Linked DNA regions of Alligator mississippiensis. The main gene of each other region encodes a partner of the protein of the gene in region 2 in a complex. Links are inferred from orthologs where the notes say so. Each region holds a gene or a part of one and is shown on either strand. Other genes may lie near its edges.

Region 1 (7,368 bases), about 4.9 Mb from region 2:
TGCAGCTTCCTCCTCTGTGGTTTCCACAGGTACCATCACAGGTAAACCTGCGTGTATAAACAATAGCTCAAGCTCTCCATCTCCTCTGCAGGCTTCCCCATTCACTTCAGGATCCAGTTTAAAATAAAAATTCTCCCCATAGTTTTTAAATACCCTCTTTGGCTTTGCCAGAGCCTGTCTCCTGAGCCTTATGTACCACTACTCCCCTTCACACTTGGTTTGTGAAGACATTTACATTGAACTCCTCACAGAAAAGGCCTTGCACATTGTTGGTGCCCAAGCTTTCTCCACAGCTGCTCCTGTTGCTTCTTATTTTCTTTACCAACGCTCCACCTCATTTCAAATCCCAGCTGAAGCATATTTTCTATTCCTTGTCTCTCATTATCACTGAATTATAGAAAACCAGGGCTAGAAGGAATCTGGAGGTCATCTAACCCAAGCCCCTACACCAGGCAGTATCTCTTGCATCTAAATCAACCTAAACAAGTGTTGTGTAACTGCATCGAAACACTTTCAATGATCTCTTCCACTGCCTCACTAAATGATCTCTTTCACTGCTTAAACACCTTCAGAGTTAGACCATTATTCCTAATATCCAATCTAAATCATCCATGACTTCTTGTCCTGCCCCAGGTGACCACAGAGAATGACTAACGACCATGCTCTTTATAACAGACCTTTTTTGTATCCGAAGATTGTTCTCAAATCCCCCTTGTATCATAGCCTTCTTTCTTTCACTAAACGACCCCAATTCTTCCAACCTTTTGTTATACGTAATATTGTCAAGATATCTAGCCACGCCTGCCGGTCTCCTCTGGACTCTCTTCAACTGGTCCGCGCGTCTCTCAAAGTGCCCGGGGGTGGATAAAGCACCTCACCAGCGCTGACCACTTTTCGTGTCCGGCACAGACGCTCCTGTTCATAGATTCCAGTGTGACAACAGCTCGTTTCCACACTACGACATTGTTCGGTCACATTCAAACCGTGACCCAGTACAGCCAGTTCTCCATTTTTTTTCTGCAATACTGCAACACTGTTAGTCAATCGTCATTTTGCATTTAATTGCTCCTTCCAAAGTGCATTATCTTGCACTATTCCTTATTGAATATTATCCTTTTCATTTCACACTTTCCCCCACCCCCCCAAGTTATCAAGGTCATTTTAAATCCTCAACCTTTCCCTCCAAAGTTTCTTCTGCCCATGAGGCTTGGTCTCGTCCTCCGAGTTAATAAGCGCGCACTCGGCTCTATCATCCAGGTTACTAATTAAAGCACAGAACAGTACGAGACCAGGACGCACGCCTGGCAAAAGACTGGGACAGATGCCAGACCCACTCGACGCTGCCCCCAGTCGGAGACAGAGCCGCAGACGACTCCCACCAGCCTGACGATCCAGTCCGCTGCGCGCATCGACCCTACGGCAGCTCTTATTTCTGTAGCCTCCTCCTTCGCGAGAGGTCCCTGCAACGCTGCTCGCTCACAGGGTCCCTCACACGCTGCTTGCCCCCGTCACGAGGCTGCCATCGCCTTTGACGACCCCACCTTGGCTACGACTCGTCCCCTCGCGCTCTTCGAGGAGCTGGCGAGTCGTGGCACCGGCTCGGGTGGGGAGGGCCCCCAATGGGCACAGTGCTTCGCCTCTCACCCACTTTGGGGGGGGAGGGGTGACTGTTTCCAGCCACCTGAGACCTCACTGGAGCCCGCGATCGCCGCAGGCGAGGCCACTCGGGCCCCCCGAGGCGCTGCTCCTCCAGCAGCCGGGCCACACGCAGCCGCCCCCGCCTCCAGGGGGGTGCCCGGGCCCCACGGCGGGAGGCCCCGCGGCCTACCCCGCTCGCCTCAGGGGCGCCGGGGGAGGAGGCGTCGCACGCGCCCCTGCGGCCTGGGGGACGCGGCCCCGGCGGGGGAGGGGGGAAGACGCCACCGCCGCTTACCTGGCTGGGCGGCTCTGCCTGCTCCGAGGAGGCCATGTTTCCAGACCCGGCTAATCCATCCCCGCCTCGGCCGCTCGGAACACCTCCCGCGCCCCGCCGGCCTCAGGCAGAAGCAGCGGACCGCCCCGCTATCGATCGACCTGAGTCTGCCCATCTCAGACTGAGCCCCAGAGCTGGACGAGGGTCGTTTTCCTGCGAGCGTTAAAGATATCAACGCTAATCAGCATGAAGAGGGCTCCACATGTTTATTAGACCAACTCTAAGAAAAGAGAGGGGTGTAGGTTGTAGCTGTGTTGGTCTAAGGGCATAGGCAGACAAGGGTTTGGGGGTAAATCTGATCTCTTTTATTAGATAGACCAACTCAAATAGTTGGGAACATTTTTCTTTGCAAGCTTTTGGGCATAAATACCCTTTGACAGGGTGAAAAGGCATCTATTTTTTTTTTAATTTAATTTGTATTTGCGGTCAAATTAGCCAAAACTAACTCCAAATCCATCTGCAGTTGGTGTGTGCTCTTCCTGGGCGCAATGAATAGTAAACCACTTTTTATTCCATCCAGGAAGAGCACGCACCAACTGCTGAAACTTCCTCAGCCTGACAAAGGGTTTTTGAGCCCAAAAGCTTGCTTAAAAATTGTTTTCCAACTATTTATGTTGGTCTAATAAAAGATATCAGATTCACCCAAAGAACCTTGCCTGCCTAGTAAAGCAGCCGGCACATTTACCCAAAGACCCTTGTCAACCTAGGCCTTCACATCAATGCTGACGTTGTTCTGGCTGCAGGGTCTTTAAGGCAAGGTTCACTGTCAGTTGTTAATCACTGATGGCTTTGCTCTGGTTGCAGGGTCTTTGAAAGCAAGGTCCACTGTCAGTTATTAATCACTGATGGTTCACACCTATGCATGGTGCATGCTCCATATTTGTTATCTCCCATTATAAACAACATGCATTTCAAACAACTTATGCGCTAAGAACTTGCCTGCACAGTTTAGCTTGCAGGATTAAAGTCGGTCACAATCCCGTAACAATTACTGGTTGCAGCACAGCAACAAATCCTGCCTGCTCCAGTCAGCTGACTTCAGTGGGGCTGTTTTCATGAGTAAAGCAATAGTACTATCAACGGGAACGAGTACAATATCAGGCCCTCGATTAAACTCCGTAAAAAGGATTTAAAAGCCTGTTCCTGCACCACTTAAACCATTGACAAAAGTCTTATTGATTTCAGTGGTGAAGTTTTTGGCTCGCTGTGTATCGCTTCCTTGTTTTTGTTTACACACGACTATTTATTATTCATTATTATTTCATTTGTATAGCTCCCAGAAGTCTGCCATGTGCTAAAAAGCACAAATAATGAGTCAGATTTTGCAAACTCTGCAAGTGTGTAACTTTATTCTTGACTTCACTGGACTACTCAAGTGAGTGTAGATCTTACCTGCATCGTGAGCTCCTTCCTGGCATATTTGGGCTATACTGATGTTTGCAAGAGGTGATTCCTTGCTGTGCAAATATTCTTCTTTGTGTATATTATAGTTCAGAGCAGATGCACTTTTTTATAACTCTATTTATTAATTCATGTGCAAAACACAATGCACTACAAATACATTTCACTATTTTTATGTTTTGTTATGGTAGCACCCTGCTTTATATACATTTGCACTCTTGCCAACAGTCACAACTTAATTGCAGGTACCTCACCCTGTTGGGTTTTTTTCTTAAAGCCTGAAGTCCTGGAGTCAAGTGATTTCAGCTTTCATTAAAAAACCCCCAACCCTGCAGCCATCACCTCACTGCCGTGCATAAAAGGTGGAAAACACCATCAAGCTTACATTAAAGACTCAAAACCCGAAAATCATTTTAAAAAAAGAGCCTAAATGTGTTATTAGCGAGTCTTTGTAACAAATCGCGGGGAGGATGTGACTCATGGCATTTGCATTCTTGATGCTGACAATGCCATGTGTCTGTACTATTCATTTTTATTTATTATTTAGTTGGTGTAACAAAAGATATCATATGTACCCAGAGAACCTCCCTGCCTATGTGTATATATTATTGCATTGTGCCTGTGCATGTTTAGCTGATAAGAACCCCGGCCCTTAGCAGATCAGAGCTGGGCCCTGTCTTGTGAAACTCCAACCCTGACAAAGAAACACCTTGCAGAGCCTGACAGCCGGGGACTAGAAGGTAACTCACTCGTGCTCCTGTCTCTTTAAGGCGGGCGGGCGGGCAAGGGGCGGACGAGCCCGGCGGACTGGGACTACATCTCCCAGGAGGCACCGGGGCAACGGAGAGCGCGGAAGCACCAGCGATGATGCGAGGGGAGGACTCCACGTCCCAGCATACCTCGCGGTGCGGGCCGGCGGGTCCCGGCGTGCACCGCGCTAGGGTAGCGGATGCAGTGCATTGGCCGTTGCCTCAGTTTCAGGCCGGGAGGCCATGGCAGCAGCGGGGCCGCGGGACGGCGGCGGGGAGGGCGGTGCTGCGGTCCCCTCGCGGAAGCAGTGCCTGATCCGGCGGAACCACGAGCGGGAGCAGCACGGGGTGGCGGTGTCCTGCCTCCGGGAGCTGCGCAGTAAGGGTGCGCTGAGGGCGGGGCTTGGTGCCAAGAGTGGGGGGCGGGGCGGGACGGGACCCTGAGGGTGGGTGGCGGGTGCATAGGTGGGAGGAGCCAAGGGTGGGGGCGAGGCAGGGACCCTCTGAGGGGGAGGGGAGAGGTGTAAGTGGGAGGAGCCGAGGGTGGGGGCAGGGCAGGTGTAGTGGGGGAAGTGATGGGGTTGGGGGGGAAGCATGGGGTGCAGCTCCCTTCAACGGAAACCCGCTGCCCAGCAGGGTGTCTTGGCAGCTGGCGCCAGGCTGCATGGGATTGGAAATGTGCCCTTGGGAACTTCCCCCGGGCAGCTGCCCCCCGGGAGCGGGGCTTGAGCGTGTGACCCTTGAGCGCCGCGACGTGCAGCTCCTGGCTGCGCGAGGAGGGTCCGGGCGTGCGTAGCCACCTGGCTCGGGAACGAGGTGGATGTCGGGACCTATTGCCGCGTTCCCTAAGTTCAAGGAGCCTGGCACAACTACACCTCTTGCGTGCCCAGAGGCACCGAGGTGCCAAGTGCTGCACATGCCAGCATCAGCATTTCCAAAATACAGCCCATGTCGTGGTAAAGGTTAAACTCTGTAATTGCATTAAAGATTTCTAAGCTCCATTAGAGAACGAAATTGCTTTGGCTAAATCTACACTAGTTGCTTTGGAGATCCCAGGCTGTGTGTACTTAGCCTTTGCTCTTCTGCCTGATGACTGAGTAGGCTTGGCTCGCGTGTGGAGTTTGTAAGTGTTCAAAACAGTACCTTGATCTCATGTCTCCTTGCTTTGGGCTTTCCTCTCTGGATTGCTGCCTTGTGACGTGTTTATCATAGGCGCTCCATTCCCTCACATGTGTTGACGGGGTCAGACATGTGGTGCTGGACAAGCGATGCCTACTGTAGCTGCCAAGGCTGTCTTGCATCCTTGATTCATAAAAATAAACGATCTCTCCTGCAGCCTGTGACGTTCTAGCCATTGACAAGACGTGGGAACCCATCACTTTAGTACTGGCAGAGGATGGCACCATTGTGGATGATGAAGATTACTTCCTGTGCTTACCGGCTAACACCAAGTTTGTGGCATTGGCCCGAAACGAAAAGTGGTCCAGCAGGAGTCTAGGTACTGAGGGTGATGGTGGTAGCTTGTCTGTGAATGTCCCAGAAATAAAATCATCTGCTTACGTTGGACCGAGGGCTCTTTGCTGGACGCCCATTTTAGAAATGGTTTCTGCATTCCATCTTCTTAGGTGTGAAGAGAGAACCTGTTATGGACAGGTGATATTAATCTTCTGCTACATTAAAAAAAAATCATCTTGTTCATCTACATGAATACACTCATACTGGTAAATGTAGGAAAGGCAGATGACAGCAATGAAGAGGTGGGGAGAAAATATGTGAGCTCTGGAACAAGTCTGCCTTCATGCATCTTGATAGGCACCAAGAAAACAACTGAAAAAAAAAGTTTAAATGTTACATTGCCCTTCTAATCAGTCACACAGATGGGTCAGCCCAAGAGACTACAGCTCATGAATGGCTTCTGAAAGCAGCATTTTAAACACTTCCCATAATTGCAGTGTAGGTTTTGTAGCTAGGATTCCAACTCAAGGGCAAGAAAACATCAATAGCTCATAGACCAGACACTGCTTCCTCTATTATACATAACTGCTATACTCCCAATGGACAGCTCCCCACACGGATCTGTCTGGATTTTGTTGTCACTCTCTTTGCAACCTTGAGTTTCTTAGTCTTGTGATTCTGGTTATGTCTGTCATGTTAGATGGGGGCACAGCCTGGCTCTCAAGAGAATCCATGGATGAAGTGGACACCAGTGAAGACAAGTGGAAACACCTGGCCCGGCAGCTGAAAGATGACTTGTCCAGCATCATTTTGATGTCTGAGGAAGACCTTCAGGTATAATGAGAACTACTACAGAAATCTGCCTACCATCCTTCTCCCCACTCAGTGCCTTTTGGTTTTACTAGTAGTGGGTGAAAATGTAGGAAAGCAAAATCTATCAGCCTGTCCAAATTCAACTGCAGTTGGCTTGCTCTGGTGCTGAAATGAAGTTCAGCTCTGGGGATAACATGCACTTGATTGGTAGTGCAAGCTCCAGATTATTCTGTCCTTCCCCTAGACAGTGCTCTTTCCTGGGACCATTTCTTCTCTTGCTTCATCATCTCTTCTCAGTATCCCTCCCCCTCCACACTTAACACCATCCTCCTCTTTCCTCCTCATCTTTCTGTGGTGATGCAACATCCTTCTTTCTGACTGCTTGCTAAATTCTTAACTCCTTCCCTGCCCTCCAACTTTACTTGTCCTTTTGGTCTGTATTGGCCCTGAAGGTTGTGGCTGTTCCACCCTGGCCATCCCTACTGATGTGGCATGTTCTTTCCTTCCTGATCTCCAGCTGATTGACCTGCCTCAGGCTCCAGTTTGAGGTTTTGACCAGTTTGACCCTGCCTTTTGGCTAGGTCATATGAAAGTCCCACCCCTGCCAGAGTACCCAAAGTCAAGAAAATAAAATCTTCTGCCTTGTTTGGACTTGGTGCTCAATAGACTTGCTAGGACTATTTTTCTGCAGGGAGGCTCTGATGGGGAGCTGTATTATGAGGGCCCCAGTTGCTCTCCCCACAGAAAGAACTAAAGGGCTGCTCAGCCAGCAACTGAAATAGGCTCCCCATCAAAGCATGATGCTTGCTTCTGGTGTCAGACAGTAGGGCAGACTGGATTGGCAGCAGTCTAGTCACTCTTACCTAACCAGTGTCAGTCACAAGAACAAACCACTTATAAGCTAGACCACTCCCTGCCTCTTTACATTGGCATGTAGTAGAATTTGGTTGTGGTGACAGCACCTTATGGTGCTTATTT
Region 2 (7,556 bases):
TCGGCAGGTTCCCCAATTATATTTATTGCTACTAGAGCAACCTAAGATAGAATTAAAAGAAACATGAATACAGAAGGCCATTGGAATTTACCTATTTTATGAAGACCCAAACATTGTACAAAGTTTTGCTGACCCCCCTGGAGTATATTTTTCAAAAAGTAAAAGTTAATATTGAGCTACATAATTCTAATATTTTCATGTTTCCCTAGGTTCCTTAGAGCTTGGAAATTATGCTATTTCTTTAAACTGTATTTTAAAAGACCACATCTTAGGCTGAAATTGAAATGGAAAGCACATGCATGAAATCAGCCTCAGCCACACCTTTTAGATATTATTTTTCTCTCTCAGCCATTCAATCACTGACCAGTGATTGTTTTATGCAGCTGGCCAAAATTATTCACTGTTTAAATATGTATTAGTAACTATCAAGTTTAGAAAGACACCTTCTCAATCTGGATAGAAGTTCATCTATTCTATCTAACAAGAAATATCATATCTTAGTGACTGAAAGATATTTTGTAGTGAACAAAATACCAGCAGAGGAGGTTTTTAAATGCATTTTACCCTCAAAGGGTTTGTTTTGGCTATATTAGCTTGCATCTTAGATATATTTATTCTAGAGAAATGGAGGAACTTCCTATTTTAAAGCATTCAGCAGGAGAACTTTTATACCATCTATGCTTTTGAGGTACAAAGAGCACTTGACTTTGTCCACCAAAGTACAGTTCTTACCATTATATCTAAAATATAATACAAAAATCCTTTATAACCCCATCTTTTTTGTTTTTCTTCTTGCTCCTTGGAAAATTGCTCAGTTGCATTAACCAACTTCCCAATGGAATTTGTACTTTTAATGATTAATGGAGAATTTCTCTATGGCCGTCATACACGGCTAAAATGTTAAAGTAATTACATAAACACCTCTCACCTGCCCATACAAGTTGTACCTATTGACATAATTTTTATGAAAAGTCAGCTTTAGATATTGTCCAACTGCATCCACATACACTGATTTCAGCTCCCGTGCTTTGTACCCAGTCTTCTCATTGTCTGATAGGGATACATAACTGTGGGAGAAAAAACAGATTAACTGTAAAAAGCATGCAAGTTGGCAAGGTATATTTTGATGGGCTGTAAAACTCCCCTGAGAACTAAACCAAAGAACACCAGTTGAAGATGTTGTACCCTTGCCTTTTTGCTTAAAAGCAGCTCTACAAACTAATTTAGTAGCCACTTGAAGTTAGCAGGTGTCTTTTCACTCGCTTCAGTAGGCTTTGGAGTTGAATAAACACAGTAGCTCTGGTCCCAAACTGAGAAAGTGTGTACGTGGATTCTCTGCCCAAGTCTCTACATAAACAGAAGCCACTGAAGAACTGGAACCAATATGTTAAAGAAACATTGTGGCATTAAATATGCCTCAGTATTAAAACAATACTGGACTAGAGAGATGCATCAAACCAATCAACAATCACTGTTCCCCTAGAATTGCAAGGCACCGAAAACTTCCATACATAATGATATTAATGTAGTTATAAACATCAGTTTCAAGCTATTTCAGGAAGGGACCACATTGGTTTTCTGTTTGTGCCTGGGAGAGTCAAAATGATGACAGATGCTTCTAAGAGCTACCACATTACAAAAAAATTACATCTTCCATGTTTCAGGGGTGTTGGTTATAGACATGTTAGTCAAAGCACATAGGCAGACAAGGACCTTGGATAAATATGATGCGATACCAGCTGCATTCTATCACCAGGTCAACATTCCCTCCTTTCCCCTTCTCCCCACACCAACCTACCTGTCCCCACCTATTATCTCCCATCCCTTCTGATCTTTCCTGCCATGCATTTGCATTTTCAGACCTGCATTTTTTATATTGGCTTAGGAGAGCGCACAAACACCAGCAGTCTCTCCCTATGCTGGAAGAAAGGTGTTTGTGCCCAAAAGCTTGCAAATAATAAATGTCCAACTATTTAATGGGTCTAATAAAGGATATCACATTTACCCAAAGAACCTTGTCTGCCACATTACAAAAAAGTATTCAATACGTCTCCCCCGTGAGTCACTGAAAGGAAAAGAATGAGCATGCTTTCTCCACGTGCGTATGAGACGTGCACAGAAGTGTCAGCCAATAAGCCTCCAAAATATCTAAATTTACATTTAATCTAAGCCCACAGAAAAGACTAGACAGCAAAATTCTGTTCTCAAGTACCCACCCACTGTCTTCTACTTTATTACTTTGGGGTTCCACAGGGACATCCTGGGGCAGAATTTCTATTTCACTGTTTGGAAAATATCTCAGCAACATTTCACCCAAGGCTAACATGTACACTCCACTCCTTTCTGGTTCAAAGAACAGAACCAGATTGTCTCTTGACTTACCCTAGCCTTCGAAACCGTTCCGACTGGTAAGGTGCAAAGTATTCAGGAAGGTTTTCACTAATGTAAAACTCAATTTTACTTGAGATCATGTACTGGTGCGCGAGCAGCTGCAGCTTTCGAACACGACATCTCTCCACCATCTGAAGGACAATTTCTTGTGGGTACTGACAGAGTCTAGAAGTGAACAGAACTCGCAGTAGTCATCATGTTAAAGATTTACTGCCATTTTCAATCACATTTTTGTGTTGCAATCATTTAGCTATCACAATTACTTATAAACCTTAAGATTCTAAAGACTACAATACAAAAAAAAAAAAATCTTCTTTTCAGTTGCGTGCGTGTGGTACCTTGCTTGCAGTGCATATATACAGACCCTGCCCTTCTGGCTACATGGACCTTTGCAGGAAACTGAAAAACATTTTAAGAGTTTAAGGACCAGCTTATTGCTTTACTAAAAAATTGGCAGGGTTACTTAGCAACAGATGGATTGCCTGAGAATACTTTTTTTTTTTTTTTAAATTACTGGATTTCAAACTGGTGGTACTTCTGATTGTACAGGGGGTGGGAGCAGTGGGGCTTGTTTTTTGAGGATGAAGATTGAACAGGATGAATAGAAATATGCAACTTGGTTGACAGTTCAAGGAAAATTTATTTCCTGAGCCAGTAAGCTGTTCCGGATAGGAACGTGACTTTGAAAGGGACTCATTTGAGCAAGAGGCTGCTTGAAGCAGTTCACAGAATTGGTACTGAACTTTAAGGAGCTCTTTGTATTTCATCTGAAGTTCAAGAAGTTATGTAAAACCATAATCCTACAATGATGATTAAATAAACCCAAGAAATCAAAATTTAAGACCCGGTTAAAAGAGATTAACTTGTTGACTGCTTTTTTCTCTCATTTGTAAATGAATTGTATTTAATACTTTTTACAAAATATTAAGAGCTTTTATCACTTTTGGTACCTTGGTGATCTCCATCCATTAACTGTTGGTGCATGAACCATCAGCTCCTTTGCACTGAAGCCATCTTCATGTCCTGATGAACTGAGAACTACAAACCCAACCTTGTGTGGCATCCTGCATTCAAAACAGAACGGTAAAAACACTATGTGATCGACACGTAAACAAAACACCACGACAGCAACAATTACAAGACTTGCCGTCTGTACTTGGAGGGAGAGCCGCTTACTTGAATGGCTCTTCTTTAAGAACTGTTGGCACATTCGGATTTAGTTTAAGGACCTATGACATATTTTTTGTATAAATAAATATCAGTAGTTTGGGGGTAACTTTACCAGCCTCCTCTAATAAAGGCAAAGAAACCTGAACATTCAGATGGATTCCTTAAATATTTGTTCAGTGCCAGGATTTCCTCTAAACAGCTTTTTCTGGGCACTTCCTAGGGGCTTCTCAAGCCATTTCCATTAATACAGGGAGCATCAACAAAATGCTTCAGGATTAGTTTTGCAGCAGAATTAAAATACGGCAGAGAGGAGGAAAGGGGGCTGGAAGGGACGGCCAAGAGGAGGCTTTCCTGGAAACCCTCCGGGGTCAGACCCCCACCCACGCACCGCGCCGTCTCAGCGGGCCGGGGCCGGGTGGGGGCAGAGGAGCCGACACCCGTCTCGTTAACGAGCGGCCGGCTCCTCCGCCACAGCCGCGGTCCGCGTCGTCCGGGCCCGTCTCGGGTCGACGCCCAGGTGCAGCACCCACCCGCCCGCTCGGCCCCGGGGCCTGCGGACAGAGCCGCGCTGCTCACCGGGCAGCAGCACCCCCGCCCGCCCAGCCACCCCCGGGCCCACGCCGCGCCGCCGCCGCCGAGGAGACCACCGCGGGCGGGAGGCCCAGCGGCCAGAAAACACCCCGTGGTGAGCGCCCGGCGGGGCCCGTCTCACCTCCACGGCGGCGCCACCCCCGGGCCCCGGCTCTCATGGCAACCAGCCGGCACACCCCGCGCATGCGTACCAGTCCCGGGGCGCATGCGCCGCTCCCCCTCAGCACATCCCGGGCGCGGACGCGCTGCCTGCGCGCATGCGCACTGGGGCCCGGCCGCGCCATGACCCCGCAGGTCCGGCTCGCCAAGGTGCGCGGGCTGCGCGGCGCGCGCAAGTACGGGGTGGCGGCGGCGAGCCTGCGGGAGCTGCTGCGCAAGGGGGCCAAGCTGCTGCAGGTCTGCGCGCCGCCCCGGGGCTTTGCAACAGAAAAATGTCTGTTTCTTGTAATCGGGGAAAGCAAGCGGCGGGGAGGAGCTGGCGTGGTCCGTGACTTGTCTCCCTTTCTTTAGCAACTTGAGCTTTGCAGATTTCCTCTTGCCTGTTGTTTGCTGACCTTCAAGAAACGGAAAACACCCGGGTTTGTTTGCTTTCATTAAACAGCTTCCTGCGCGGGGCTGTCGGGCCTGTCTGTACGAGGACGCGACAGAAGTGACCGAAAGCTACTTCCGCCACATGCCAGATAATACAGACCTTGTATTACTAGCCCCAGGGGAGACCTGGCAAGGGTGTAAGTAGGAACACTTCGGTTTAATTCCAAAGAGGAAGCGAAAGCTTTTGGTGGTTAGCTTATGATTAAGATTCAGCACATCACGTTTTACTCAGTCTACATCCCTGTTGCAACAAAATGATGCACAAAAGCTTCATTAGTTCCCAAAAAGGGATGGCAGAGCTGAAACTGCATCACCGAATACTGCTCGACATGTAGAGGAGTACAGCACTGAACGTAAGCTGGGCACGTATCAACTTAAAAGTACAGTTGGGTGTATTATGCTTAGTTTTCTGCTTCCTTGTATTAAAAACAAAGAAACTGCACTTGCTCATGTCGTTATTAGCGAGGTGTTATTGTTTAAGGAAATGCTGTCGGAAGAGAACAGTGGGAGGATTTCTTCCCCCCTCCTTTTCCATCTGGGCACCTGACTGCCTGCTAAGACCCTGCTCTAATGCCTGGTGAGCCAGATTTCTGATTCCTTTCTTTGCTCACCTGATTTCAGTGACTACTTGCAGAGTAAGGCGTGGCTCACAGGGCAAAGTGCTGTTGAACGTGGCTAGGGGGAAGGTAGAATTTGTCCATAAAGGGAGGTTTCCTTGCCTTCTTGAGAGGAAAAAATCTGGAGTTTTAGCAGTAAATCCCAAAATGTTGTGTTAAATCAGAAACAAATGTTGGAAAAACAGCCTCTTACTAATGACCTGTTTATACAGTTCCCGATTACTTGTTTGAGGGTAGAATACAAAACCCACCACAAAAATACTTTGGACAAGGTGCATTCATCTAAGAGTAACAGAACCTTTTTTCTTCATTCAAAAATCCAGATGTCAGTGATGTTAGCCACTTCCTAAATGCATTTTACAAACGAAAAGATGACATTGTTGAGGCTGCCCAGAAGCTGCTATCTGATAAACAGGCTCCCATGACACAGAAGCTGCTACTGGATCTCATTCATAACTTAAGTGAAAATATTGTGGCAGAAGACAGAGAGGAAGACGAAAAGTGGTTTGATGGTAAATCAATACACCTCCACTAAGAATTTCACACAATGAATTTTATTTTGGATTGCAGTCAAACATGGGCCCTTGACATCTCCACCCCCACAACCAATTTTAATCTTTTTACATTTGCACTTCTTTGTTACTCTCCTAAGGGAATTACTCTTATCCTTGGTGTAGTCTGGTAAATTTTACTCCCCAGAAGGGTACAGTGGTCCAGCCATTATAGGTTAGTGTACATTTATTCACATAACTATGTTTCACATTTTCTGATATATAACTGGTGAATGACCTCCAGTACTATGTTAAGTCTTATTTTAAAATGACCCAACAAAGATCCCTCTCTGCTCCCCACCTGTCTTCCTGCTAAGCACTAAATCCATCAAGGAATTCGCTGCAGTGCTGAGTTATTTCCTCTTACCAGGCTCCCATTCCTTTTCAACCCACACTTTACTTGTAAATATTAAATGTTCTAGGTTGATGTTCTTCCCCCTTTGTATATACTGAGTGATTATATAGGTTAACTAGTCTGGCAGTCCTGGCCCAGAGCAGGCACATTGAAACAGGACAGAAAAAATTCACACACAAGTCATCTGGTTTCCTAAGAAAACAGAGGCAACTGAACATTTTTGTCAACAAGCTGTGATGTATTCTTTTATTCCTTGTAGGTATAGAGCCTCGGTTTAGGAATAAATCGAGTTACATGAGGTACGGTTGTGAAAGCCGCATACGAAGTTACATGAAAGAGGTAAAATGTGCAGTTTATTTTCAAACTAGCTGAAAAAGAGTACTTTATATTAGACCTAGCTAGCCAATAACTTTTTCCATGGGCAGTTGTGGGAACCACCTTATCCAAATACTACACAAAAGTATACTGGATTTAGTAAGCAAGCTCAGAGGGCAATAAGTATCATCTGAGGAATTACTGTTTTTTTTTTCTCCCCAAAAAGGTTAGCAGTTATATTTCAGCTGTTCATCCAACAGCGCAAGCCATATATAAAAGCATCAGTGACCTTATGTTGGACAAACTGAGATCTGTGAAATATAATGGATGTTACTTTGACAGAAGAGAAGAGGCAGCAGCCCGCATTTGCACCTCGGAGGGCTGGTTCTCTTGTCAGGTAAGTTAAAAACAGACACCTGAACAAGCATGTAGGTTATTGGAGTTTATAAACACACTTAAGAAAGTAAGTGTTATTGGGGATTGTGGAGAAAAAGCCTGTAGGTAGCAGCCAAGTATGAAGCTGAAATTAAAAAAGTGACTTATCCACAGTAGCTTATACTGCCAGCCATATTTAGCCACAAGTTCTTCTGTTTTACAGGTGTATTTGAAACTGGCTTTAGTGAAGGACTTGAAGCATCCACGTTTCATAGTAGCAAATTGTGACAAGCTCTCAGTATCAATAACTAGGGCTGGGGGCAAACTAAGTAATTCATTTCCTTGCACCATCATTTTAAAGTTGACTGGTTCTTTTATGAAGTGTTGTGTTGCTGGACCCAGTCAGAACATTAGAGTGCAGCTCTTTTGGTTAACAAAAAAACCCCATTTGGGCTGATGGAAAGCACTGGGTCAGATTGAAAGTATGCTCACTGCATATCAGCATACCAGGGGTGGGGGCAGGGACAGGGCACAGTTTGGTCAACTTTAAAAAGACCATGCTTCTGGCAGAGAAGAGAGCAAGCTTGTTGCAGAGAGCAG

The links.
Region 1: the proteins of DFFB (region 2) and DFFA are in contact, whole or in part, in an NMR structure (PDB 1F2R), measured with the Mus musculus proteins. The link is inferred for Alligator mississippiensis from reciprocal best matches to the Homo sapiens genes DFFB and DFFA. Residues at the interface, in NP_031885.3 of Mus musculus: Cys10, Lys12, Arg14, Ala19, Cys20, Lys21, Phe22, Gly23, Val24, Ala25, Ala26, Arg39; in NP_001020467.1 of Mus musculus: Asp66, Thr68, Ile69, Val70, Asp71, Asp72, Asp74, Tyr75, Trp94, Tyr96, Asp100.

What each region holds. Positions count from the first base shown.
Region 1 is NC_081836.1:11,399,441-11,406,808, reverse strand, and holds the start of DFFA (DNA fragmentation factor subunit alpha), read left to right. Parts: upstream 1-4,298; 5' UTR 4,299-4,365; coding exon 4,366-4,507; intron 4,508-5,458; coding exon 5,459-5,620; intron 5,621-6,277; coding exon 6,278-6,411; intron 6,412-7,368. Other genes in the region: peroxisomal membrane protein PEX14, read right to left, coding at 1,934-1,969. UniProt on the Homo sapiens protein: Inhibitor of the caspase-activated DNase (DFF40).
Region 2 is NC_081836.1:16,294,081-16,301,636, forward strand, and holds the start of DFFB (DNA fragmentation factor subunit beta), read left to right. Parts: upstream 1-4,407; 5' UTR 4,408-4,434; coding exon 4,435-4,548; intron 4,549-4,753; coding exon 4,754-4,880; intron 4,881-5,683; coding exon 5,684-5,872; intron 5,873-6,525; coding exon 6,526-6,605; intron 6,606-6,807; coding exon 6,808-6,978; intron 6,979-7,556. Other genes in the region: CEP104 (centrosomal protein of 104 kDa), read right to left, coding at 1-41, 929-1,067, 2,383-2,556, 3,342-3,454. UniProt on the Homo sapiens protein: Nuclease that induces DNA fragmentation and chromatin condensation during apoptosis. Degrades naked DNA and induces apoptotic morphology.